Rattus norvegicus: one gene and its partners. The protein of the gene in region 1 interacts with the protein of each later gene in a pairwise test. Links are inferred from orthologs where the notes say so. Each region holds a gene or a part of one and is shown on either strand. Other genes may lie near its edges. The genes, in order: Banp, Sp2 and Foxm1.

Evidence for each region.
Region 2: the proteins of Banp (region 1) and Sp2 interact in binary tests that used the Homo sapiens proteins (3 or more experiments, as listed by UniProt). The two-hybrid records come from large-scale screens. The link is inferred for Rattus norvegicus from reciprocal best matches to the Homo sapiens genes BANP and SP2.
Region 3: the proteins of Banp (region 1) and Foxm1 interact in binary tests that used the Homo sapiens proteins (3 or more experiments, as listed by UniProt). The link is inferred for Rattus norvegicus from reciprocal best matches to the Homo sapiens genes BANP and FOXM1.

Annotation. Positions count from the first base shown.
Region 1 is NC_086037.1:66,985,836-66,989,481, reverse strand, and holds part of Banp (protein BANP), read right to left. Parts: intron 458-3,646; coding exon 314-457; intron 1-313. UniProt on the Homo sapiens protein: Controls V(D)J recombination during T-cell development by repressing T-cell receptor (TCR) beta enhancer function. Binds to scaffold/matrix attachment region beta (S/MARbeta), an ATC-rich DNA sequence located upstream of the TCR beta enhancer.
Region 2 is NC_086028.1:82,444,505-82,448,150, reverse strand, and holds part of Sp2 (transcription factor Sp2), read left to right. Parts: exon of another isoform or gene 1-842; intron 843-953; coding exon 954-1,030; intron 1,031-2,429; coding exon 2,430-3,401; intron 3,402-3,440; exon of another isoform or gene 3,441-3,580; intron 3,581-3,646. UniProt on the Homo sapiens protein: Binds to GC box promoters elements and selectively activates mRNA synthesis from genes that contain functional recognition sites.
Region 3 is NC_086022.1:163,324,323-163,328,068, forward strand, and holds the start of Foxm1 (forkhead box protein M1), read left to right. Parts: upstream 1-1,305; 5' UTR 1,306-1,467; intron 1,468-3,508; 5' UTR 3,509-3,552; coding exon 3,553-3,746. UniProt on the Homo sapiens protein: Transcription factor regulating the expression of cell cycle genes essential for DNA replication and mitosis. Plays a role in the control of cell proliferation. Also plays a role in DNA break repair, participating in the DNA damage checkpoint response.

The DNA of each region.
Region 1 (3,646 bases):
CCAGGCTTGGACCACACAGAGGAAGGGGAGCTGCCAGTGCCAGCAAGGTGTGCAGAGGAGGAGGGAGACTTCACATGGTACAGAACCGGACTGTTGAGTCTTCTGCTCCTACCACGGTCACCTGCCCTTGCCGGGCCGAGATCAGAGGAGCCCACACATTCTGACTTTAGGAGTTCAGAGTGAACAGAAGCTCCATGCCTCTGCCAGACCTGTATGCTTCTCGACAAGGGTTCCTAGTTCTAGGAATGTCAGTCACAGTCCAAGTTCAGTATCTACCAGGGAGGCTGGTGGGACTGAGAGGGACAGGACTCACCTGCGTTGCAGCCGTGTGGTCACTCACGGGCGCCAGCTGGACATACTGAACCTGAATGTCACTGCCCTGGAGAGGCGACCCATCTACTCCTGTAGCTGCAGGGTCTGAAGAGGCCACGGCTATGAGCTGAGCACCCTGCAGTACCTGGGGTTGGGGACAAAGCCAGGTTGGTCAGTGGAGCTTGGGTCAGCAGACCCCTATCCTCTTCTGGTTCAGAAGCAATAAGAGGCCCAGGCCCACAGCATGGATGTGAATGCAATGGAGCCTCAGTGCCCACTGCAGACACACCCACCTGACGTGCTGAGTTTTGACTGTCATGAAATCTGCCACATTCACACTTAGTCTTGCAGAAACACCCTTGTTACACACAGACATTAGTCTTTTAAAGCCCGTGTGGAAACCAATAAGCTAGAACTTGAAGACTGCACAGGCACACTGAAGACAGCGGGAGAGCTTAACAAACCCCGCACAGAGCCCATGTGGAGCCAATAACTTTAGATAGAGAAACAAAAGGAGAGGGAGGGCTGCAGTAGGTGTACTGCTTGTGTGCCAGCATGAGGACTTGCGCCTGGATCTTCGGTATCCACACACAAATCAGGAGCAGCTGGGTAACCCCAACCAGGAAGACTGCTGGAGGTGGATCACGGCCAGCCTAGCCAAACAGTGAGCTGCAGGTTCAGTGAGAAACCCTCAGGAAAAATAAGGTGAAGAGAGATGAGGACACCATCCACAAACACGTGCGCGCACACACACACGCACGCACGCACTCGGACACACACACACACGCACTCGGACACACGCACACAAAGAAGAAAGAAGGGAAGAGCTACTGTGGCAGGGACAGTGAGGGGCAAACAGGCTCCAAGGGGAGGGTGTGAGCAGAGACACCAGGGGCAGGTCACTACAGAACAGATCCTTCAGTCCTCTTTGCTGCATCCCTCCATCGTCCTGACCCTGCCTGACAGTGACCCTGCCTCAGAATGGATGTGGAGTAGGAGGAATAAGCTTGGGTGACTCCAGCTCTGGAAATCCATCCCACTGATTCACTTCCCACAAACTCCACCTGCTGCTCACACGACCGGGCAGGAGGCTCGAGGCAGGCAATACAGAGCCTCCATCTGCGCACTCACAGGTGCCCTTCAATCAGCCTTGGGTACTGCCCTAGGTGGGAAGGCCAGGGCGCCCAGACGTGCAACCCCAACAGTGGACAGAACCCCAGCAGTGGACAGAACTGCTGGGTAGGAAGCACATTTGGCATGGAGAGGACCACGTGAGGTTCCCCACAACCAGAGACAGCAGTACAAACTCACCCAGACAACTTCTAAGAAGAGCTGTACTTGTAAACAGCTAGCTTGACTGTCAGATGACATGTGCCCTTTTAAAGGACACACTGTAAATAAGGACAGTGTCTCTTATGCTAATGAGGGTCTGCCAAACCAAAATAGACCCAGGTTCACAGGCACTGGGAAAATATTTTTAATGACTTTAAAGTCCTTTTTAATATTTTTGAATAACTAAAAAAAAGTGAGACAACTATTTGGGGATGTGACTGCCGACTCATGCTGGATTCTAATAAGGAGAACTCCCAGCATTCCTCTGGGAAGCAGTCTATCTACCTCCTTCCTGGGGAGTGCAGTGGCTTCTGGGTCAATCTCACTTCCAGTGTGATTCCCCTCATCTATGGAGGCCTGACAGCCAAGAGACAACAGCAACAATAACAGCCTGTCTCTGCACAACTCTGGCCCTCAAGACACACCTCTCGAGCTGCTTATGGCTGCTCTTCTCTATGTCAACATGTGGGGATAGGAGGAAAGTTTCCTGGGCCTCACAGGAACCACACATTGGTCAGCTACCCCATGGGCCATGGTGATAGGCAGTGGGATGTTCAAAAACAGGGGAGCCAGTCCTCAGCCCTCTCTAGGTGCTCAATCCAGGTTAACTAAAGGAAGAAGGGTGTGCAGACACACATCTGGGAACTGGTTTCCAGGCAAGCTCAGAACTCAACATAAACACTTGCCTGCTGCTTCTATCCCAGATACCTCAGCGTCCCCTATTCCACACCCACTCTGGCACAGCTACTGCACAATGCCACTGGCCACTCCCTCCCTCTGCAGAGGAAAGCAGGGCAACAGATGCTGAGTTGCCCACAGCTGGCTGACAATAATGACTCCTTGTTTAGATAAAGCATGGCTCCTTCCAGCAGGAAAAGCCTGAAACAGGGTAAAATGATCCAATCTTATAAGCATCAGTGACAGAAGCCTCTAGATTCCTCCTTCACTCACTCTGACTTGCAGGCAAGTTCGTTATTTTTGCTAAGAACTACATTTCTCCAGGCATGGTGCTCTCCCTCATCTGACCAAGCAGTTCAACTTGAAACAAAACGGGGGATTTTACAGTCAGGAGACGGTAAACCGAGCTCCTGCTTGGGGACAGCCCTTGGTGGCAGACTTGGATGGAGCCCGGCTCTTCCAGACTCTCCATTGTATATGCTGGCCTGGGCCTTTCCTGGGTAGCCAGCGCAGCTTGGGACCTCTCCTCCCCTGCATTGCTCACCCAGCAGTCTTCCTGGTCTCCCTACTCAGCAGCTCCTGTGGATCTTAGTGGGTCCCATGGGCTCCTATGATAACCCTACAGGCTACCAAAGCCATCTCTAAGGACCAGTGAACACTTCCCTCCAGCACCTGAGTCACAGGAGCTTCCTGGTCTCACTGCCAGAACTTGGGCTCAAGCAGACAGGACAGTATCTATGGCCCACTGGTGCCTGTCTCCCCTGACCTACCCAGGGCCATCCACCAGGGTAACCCAGGTAGAGGCAAAGGGGGGCTCTCCACACGTTCCTTGAACAGCAGAATCAGCAGGCTTCAGAAGGAAGGAAAGGATACAAACACTAGAACTGCTCCAACGGCAGAATGACCCTGTGTCCAAGAGTGAAAGGCTCCATGGGGTAAGGGCTCTGAGCTCAACAGATGGGCCTGACTTGATGGCCATTCATCAAGCCATATGTCTTCATATGCCATCAACTGTTACAAGTATGCCTATACATGTCTTCAGACACCTGTGGTCATAGATGTGCACATGCACACATCTGTAAGTAAGGCACATGCCTGTTCACAGACACCTTATCAGCTCTGCTAACCCCTACCATGCACCTCTACTATGATGTCTCTGGCTGGCAAAGCAAGCTCTTAGCCTCAGGCCTCTGTAGGTATCCAGCATTGACAGTGGCAGTTACTGTGGCAGCCTCTGTAAGCCTGGGCTCAGTGTGTGGCACTGTCTAACCTGCGGTAGGCTCTGTAAGGCTCCACCTGCTGTCCAGAGCTTTGACCTGACCCT
Region 2 (3,646 bases), on another chromosome or scaffold:
ATAGGTGTGAGCTACCATGTGGTGTCTGGGATTTGAACTCAGGACCTCTGGGAGAGCAGTCAGTGCTCTAACCACTGAGCCATCCCTCCAGCCCTCACTGTTCATTCTTGTGTGTAGTTGTTGGCTGTGTAGTCTGTGACCTACATATCAGTTCGTATCATATCAGTTGTTCTGTGTAAAGGTGTAAATCCACCTAAAGCAGTGCTTCTCACCTTCCTGACGCTGTGACCCTTTAATACAGTCCTCATGTTGTGGGAATCCCTGGACATTAAATTATTTTTGTCTGCCACTCCACAGCCTTTACGTTGCTACTGTCACGAAGTGCAACGTAAATACTTTTGGAGAGAGAGGCTTGCCAAATGGGTCCTGGCCCATAGGTTGAGAACTGCCGACTTAAAGGATTTGCCATCTACTGGTTCCTAGGGGCCCTTGTGTCTGGGTGTGAAGGTTGTGCAGACAGCCTTTAGAATAGGACAGGAGTGTCCTGCTGCTCAGGAATGCTGGCCTAGCCTTTCCTCACTCCCAGACTAGTTTGCTTTTAGCTTCAGCTGGATTGAGCTGGTAGCCTTAGCACAAGACTTGGCTAGAGGCTCTGCCCCAGGAGGAGATTCAGAATCAGAGGGCTACCAGTGTCCACCAGGGGGCACTCTGGACTCACCACAGCCAGTCCTGACACAGGAGTCTCCCAGTTTTCCCAGTCTTAGACACTTGTGGGGACAATGTGAGAAGGCAGGCCTGGCCTGAATGGATGAGTGTAAGCAAAGCAGAAGTCACCCAGACAAACCCCGGGCTGTGATGCTAGATGCTAGAAAGCCCAGGGCCTTGCAGGAAATGCTGTTAACCTGTTGGAAAAGCAGCAACAGAGGCAAAAAAAAAAAAAAAAAGCTGAGGCAAGGGGCCTTGGTTTCTCTTCAGGTGTTTGTTTTTATATCGCTCCATCTTTCTCCCGACAGATTCACAGATGAGCATGGCCGCCACTGCTGCTGTCAGTCCCAGTGACTACCTGCAGCCTGCTGCCGCTGCTACCCAGGCAAGTGCACAGTGGGCTCTGAGGCAGGGCCAGAGCCTGGGTGGGTTACTGAAGTGGGTTTTCTAGCTCACTCAGACCTGTCCTGCAGACACCCAGGGAGATTTGCTTATTCTCATTTCTGAACTAATCAGGCAAAATGAGCAGTGTTAGACTTGGCCCCTGGTGGCCGGGGCCACGGCTGTTAATAGAGTCTTTGCTGCACATTGATGAGTACCTGAGTTCAAGCCCAAGTACCCATGTCAAAGCTGAGCTGGGCTTGGTAGTACACACCTGTAATCCTAGCACCAGAGAGGCAGACACAGAGCCGCCACTGAGGTGCACTGGTCAACTAGTCTTGCCCAGTCAGTAAGTTTAAGATTCAGTAGGAGACCCTGCCTCAAAAATTAAAGTAAGGGAGATGGAGAGACGCTCAGTGGCTTAAGAGCACTGGCTGCTTTTCCAGAGGACCGGGTTTGATATGGCAACTCAGACTCCATTATCAAGTGATCTGATGCCCTCTCTGGCCTCTGAGAGCATCAAGTACAAGTACTTGAGTGATACATAGACACACACGTAGGCAAAACACCCAAATACATAAATAAACAATTTCGCAAACAGGGTAGAGTCATAGAGTAAGAATTTAACCTTAGGGACTGGAGAGATGGCTCAGTGGTTAAGAGCACTGAGTGCTCCTCCAAAGGTCCTGAGTTCAAATCCCAGCAACCACATGGTGGCTCACAACCATCTGTAATGAGATCTAATGCTCTCTTCTGGTGTGTCTGAAGATAGCTACAGTGTACTTATATATAATAAATTACAAAAAGAAAAAAAAGGAAAAAAAAGAATGACTCAATAAACTGGGAGATTTAAAAAAAAAGAAAGAAGGGGCTGGGGATTTAGCTCAGTGGTAGAGCGCTTGCCTAGGAAGCACAAGGCCCTGGGTTCGGTCCCCAGCTCCGAAAAAAAGACCAAAAAAAAAAAAAAAAAGAAAAAGAAAAAAAGAATTTAACCTTAGGCTCTGGCCTCCACACACACTGACTCAGATATACCTATGTCCTTCACACACATACGTGGATTCAACACACTCCAGAACACAACCAGAAACCCCTTACGAGAGCGAGTTCATATGCTCTCCCTCCCTGTGCTGAGTTGGTAGACATCTGATGCCTGGGTGTGTACCTATCCCTGCCAACACTGGGCCAGCAAGGCCTGTGGGAGAACAGCCTATGCTGTTGGTCTGTCATGTCCAGGGCTACTGCGTGCGTGCGTGTGTGTGTGTGTGTGTGTGTGTGTGTGCATGCGTGTTAGTTTGCCACAGGGGTGGGGAAGAACTCATAGGGTTGGGGAGCTGCTGAGAAGAGAGGATGACAAATCTAGCTAGTGGACTCATCTCACTCCTTACTTCTGCTGATTTTTGCAGGACTCCCAGCCGTCTCCCTTGGCTCTGCTTGCTGCAACATGTAGCAAAATTGGCCCCCCAGCTGTTGAAGCTGCAGTGACACCTCCTGCTCCCCCCCAACCTACCCCAAGGAAACTGGTCCCTATCAAACCCGCCCCTCTCCCTCTCAGTCCCTGCAAGAATAGCTTTAGCATCTTGTCATCTAAAGGAAATATACTTCAGATTCAGGGCTCCCAGCTGAGCGCCTCCTACCCTGGAGGGCAGTTTGTGTTTGCGATCCAGAACCCCACTCTGATCAACAAAGGGAGCCGATCAAATGCAAGTATCCAGTACCAAGTCCCTCAGATTCAAGGGAACAGTTCCCAGACCATCCAGGTGCAGCCCAATCTCACCAACCAGATCCAGATCATCCCAGGCACCAACCAAGCCATCATCACCCCGTCAACATCCGGTCATAAGCCTGTCCCCATCAAGCCAGCTCCTGTCCAGAAATCAAATACGACCACCACCCCTGTGCAGAGCGGGGCCAACGTGGTGAAACTGACAGGTGGGGGTGGCAACATGACGCTCACCCTGCCACTCAACAACCTGGTGAACACCAGCGATATTGGGGCCCCTGCTCAGCTCCTCACTGAGAGCCCCCCGACCCCACTGTCTAAGACTAACAAAAAAGCTAGGAAGAAGAGCCTTCCTGTGTCACAGCCCTCAGTAGCTGTGGCTGAACAGGTGGAGACGGTACTGATCGAGACCACAGCAGAGAACATCATCCAGGCAGGAAACAACCTGCTGATCGTCCAGAGCCCTGGTGGGGGCCAGCCCGCTGTGGTCCAGCAAGTCCAGGTGGTGCCACCCAAGGCCGAGCAGCAACAGGTGGTCCAGATCCCCCAGCAGGCACTGCGGGTGGTGCAGGCTGCCTCTGCCACCCTCCCCACCGTTCCCCAGAAGCCCTCCCAGAACTTTCAGATCCAGACAACTGAACCAACACCAACCCAGGTACCACAGCCCCTCTCCCTTCCCTCCCTCTCTGCTCACCCCTTTGGCTTGCTTTTGAAACAGAGGCAGATCAGCAGCAGATCTGATGGGAAGCTGGAGTCACCATCATTTGGGGTGGCAGGAAATGGCTTCTGCCCTGAGATCTCTTCAGGTCTTAGGCCAAGTAGACATAGTTCCCTCTGTAGAAAGCAGATGGAACAGGGAAAACTGGTCTGTTTTTTCTTTCCTTATGGAGTAGCTCTGGG
Region 3 (3,746 bases), on another chromosome or scaffold:
GCCTGGGGCTGGCTATGAATACCTGGCTGGCCTGGAATTCACAGAGATCCGCCTGCTTCTGCCTCCTGGGTGCTGGGATTAAAGGCGTGAGCCACCACATTCTGGTGTCAGTGAAAACCCACCAGCCTCTAACCTGTTCACCTCTCAAACACAGTCTTTATCTGCTCCCCATCTCATAGCATACCACGCCCCCTAAGTCTTAGTTCAAATCCCTGTGACCTTCAGCCTTTGTGTTCACCAGCCTAGCCTCCTCCAGTCAAAACATCTCCCTTCTTTTTTTTTTTTTTTTTGGTCTTTTTTTCGGAGCTGGGGACCGAACCCAGGGCCTTGTGCTTCCTAGGCAAGCGCTCTACCACTGAGCTAAATCCCCAGCCCCAAACATCTCCCTTCTTAATCTAGCTGCTTCAATGTTTCCTTCCCTTCTGTGTAATGGGTGACAGATCTTACACCTTGTTCTCAGCTCATAAGGAAGGAAGGAAGGAAGGAAGGAAGGAAGGAAGGAAGGAAGGAAGGAAGGAAGGAAGGAAGGAAAAAGAGAGGAAGAAAGAAAGGAAAAAGAAAGGCTTTCCTGCCCTAAGTCAAGATTTTCTCGTTAAAATAAATACTCAAATTTATCACTGGCGGCTGCGGGAGGGCGAGCCAGTGACCCGGGCTACTCCGAAGGCGGAAACACGAGAATCGAGAATTCTACACATGGGGATACCCGGGGTCAGACAAAACCCACCGGCCTCTAACCTGTTCCTCTGTAGCTAGAATTCTACCGATCTGTTCATCTCATTCTGGGCTCCCTCTCCATCAGACCACCGGTGAGCCCAGGGGAAGGACGGCCCGGTCTGCCACTGTACCTTCCACTCTTTCGTAAAGTATGGAAAAAAGATCGTCCGGACACCTCGGGGCTGGGCCCGAGGTGGAGGCGGCCACAGACAGGGGCGGGGCGTAGGGCACTTAACCGCAAGTCTGGGGACAGAAACCCAAGCTGGACCCCACGCAGCAACGAGGGCTGAGCCGCGCGGTGGATCCAGAGGTAGCCCAGTGGGTAGCTAACCGGGGGAGTGGCGTACGCTGCCCCGGAAGGAAGTCGACCACGGAGGCAGGGCGGTCCGGGGCGGGGCGGAGCAGGCTGCTGGCCGCGGTCCGCGCGTCCCCGCGTCCCTCCCGCCGTCCCTCGAGCTCCGGGGCCCCCTTACCCGCCCTCCCGGCCGCGGCCGCCGCTCCTCAGGACGCCGAGCGTTCGGGGCCGGAACCCGGAGACAAGCCGGTGCCGATTGGCGACGCTCCGTCACGTGACCGCAACGCTCCGCCGGCGCCAATTTCAAACAGCGGAACAACTGAAAGCGGCGCTGCGGGACCCACCCCCGGCCCGGGCTCACCCCCCACCCCGCCCCGGGTTCCCACCCCGGCCGTCCCGCCGGGACCCGCCCGCCCTGGCCTGGCTCGGCCCCGCGTGGAGCAGCGGTGGCCTGTGAGGTGAGTGGGGTGCGACCCGGTCCGGGGAGGGCTTGGAGTCGGGACTGCCGGGGCTGTGGGGCGCGAGGGGGTGTTGAGGACCGCCAGGAAGAAAGTCTGAGCCGCCGGCCTCGGCTTTCCCGCCGCGTTCTCCGAGCACCCCGGGACCCTGGGAACAGGCCTGCCCTCTGAGTCTGCACTTGCAGTCAACCCTGCCTCCGCCTCCACAGCTGCAGGGTGGGATCCTAGCTGAGCGTTGCAAGGTTCCCGGTTCTGTGTGGAGAATGGGGTCTTTGGGGATGGCTCTGCAAGTCGCCTTGCGCTAGAAGATTTTGGGAGTGTTAGGAAAAGGCTGGTCAAAGAGAGAGGTACCCTATGGTGGGGGGTGTCTACCATTTGATTGGGGTGGGTGCAGTGTGAAGCAAAACGAGAACTGAGATTTGAAGGTCGAGAGAACGAAGTATAAAGGAGAGAAAGCTACAGGGAGGAAGGGACCTAAGAAGGCTAAGCAGCTGGCAAATGTCAAAAAAGTGTAATTACTTTTTGGAAGGTTTCCTAAAGTGCCGGCTGTTTCTCCCTTTCTCGCAGGATTGCAAAATGGAGTGGCAGGATTTAATTTAATGATAAATTATTCTATCTATCTATAAAAACCTATGAAATGCTTTTTCTAAAGACTTCCTTCCTTAGCATTTCAAAGTGACTTTAGCATAGCCAGGCATAGTGGTGAATGCCTGTAATCTCAGCACCTAGAAAATTGGGGGCCAAAGGCTCAGTGGTTCAAAACCAGCCTGGGCTACATGAGACGCTATCTCAAAAATTAAAGCCACCTTAAGCATATTAATGATAGCACATTTTGGTATGGAGAAGATCTGTATTACAGTCTTTAGAAGCAGAAAAATCAAGTATTATACTTATAAAACTAAAATATAGTTACTCTCAAGTACCAAAATGTCACTGTGCAAATGCTTTGCAGATTTTGAAAGAAAGAATGGGACTGGAGAGATGGCTCAGTGGTTATTGACAACTATTGAAAAAAATTATTTTTAATTCAAGAGGATTGGAGTTTTTAATTGTAGTGTGCTTACCAAGCATTCACAAAGCTCCAGGTTCAATTCCTACCACTACCTAAACCTGGCATTGTAGCCACACCTGTGATTCTGGCAGGTGGAGGCAGGAGAATCAGACGTGTAGGTCAGCTGCATTATTTGAGACGGAAAGAAAAGGGCACTAGGACTATGGCTTGGGTAGAGTCTTTCATTCGTCCCTACAGTCATCGAGAGTGACCTGCATTCTAGTGGACAGTGGCTGGTATTTCCACATTCTTGTAGATGTGTATTCCTCTGGCCAAACATTCAAAAAGAGGTTTTTGCATTTTTACTGGGGCGGGGGTTGGGGAGGAGGGTTGCCCACATGCCACAGCACATGTATGGAGGTTGGAGGGTAACAGTCAGGAGCTGATTCTCTCTTCCCACCATCGTGGTCCTGGGGACTGAATGCAGGTGGCCAGGCTTAGCAGCTGATGGTTTCGGTCATTGAGCCATCTTGCCAGCCTCCCCTCCCTCCCAAATCTTTCTAGTTTGTTTGCCTTTTTGTAGTACTGGGAACTGAACTTAGGGCCTTGCTAAGCAAGCACTCTATTACTAAGCTACATTCTCAGCCTGGCCAAACATTCTTAAGCTTACAGGGGACCATGCACTTCAGTGCAGTCCCATGTTCCCATCTTGAAGTGTTTGCTGCAGTTTTCAGCTTTCCTTGGTCAGTGATAGGGCTTTATTTGTTTGTTCTTGTTTGCTCGTTTGTTTTTGAGACAGGGTCTCATGTGGCCCATGCTGACCTTGAATTCACTCTCTGGCTAAGGGTGACCTTAAACCTTCTAGGTGCTGGGATCACAAGTGTGCATCAAACCTAGCTTCTGTCCTTATTGTCTGAGGGTTGGACAAAGGTCCAGGCAGGATTCCCCTGGGCCTTTGAGCTTCTGCTTCTGTCTGTTCATGCAGAGGAACACTTCCAGTTTGTCTCAGCCCAGCAGATCTGATAGCAAGCTTCTCCTTGCCCTCTGCAGGGTCAAAGCTTGTGATTCTCGATGGAGAGTGAAAGCACAGCTTCATGATGAGAACCAGCCCCCGGCGGCCACTGATTCTCAAGAGACGGAGGCTGCCCCTTCCTATTCAAAATGCCCCGAGTGAAACCTCAGAGGAAGAAGCAAAGAGATCCCCTGGACAGCAGGAGCCTACTCAAGCACAGGCCTCCCAAGATGTGGCAGAGTCCAGCTCTTGCAAATTTCCAGCTGGAATCAAGAT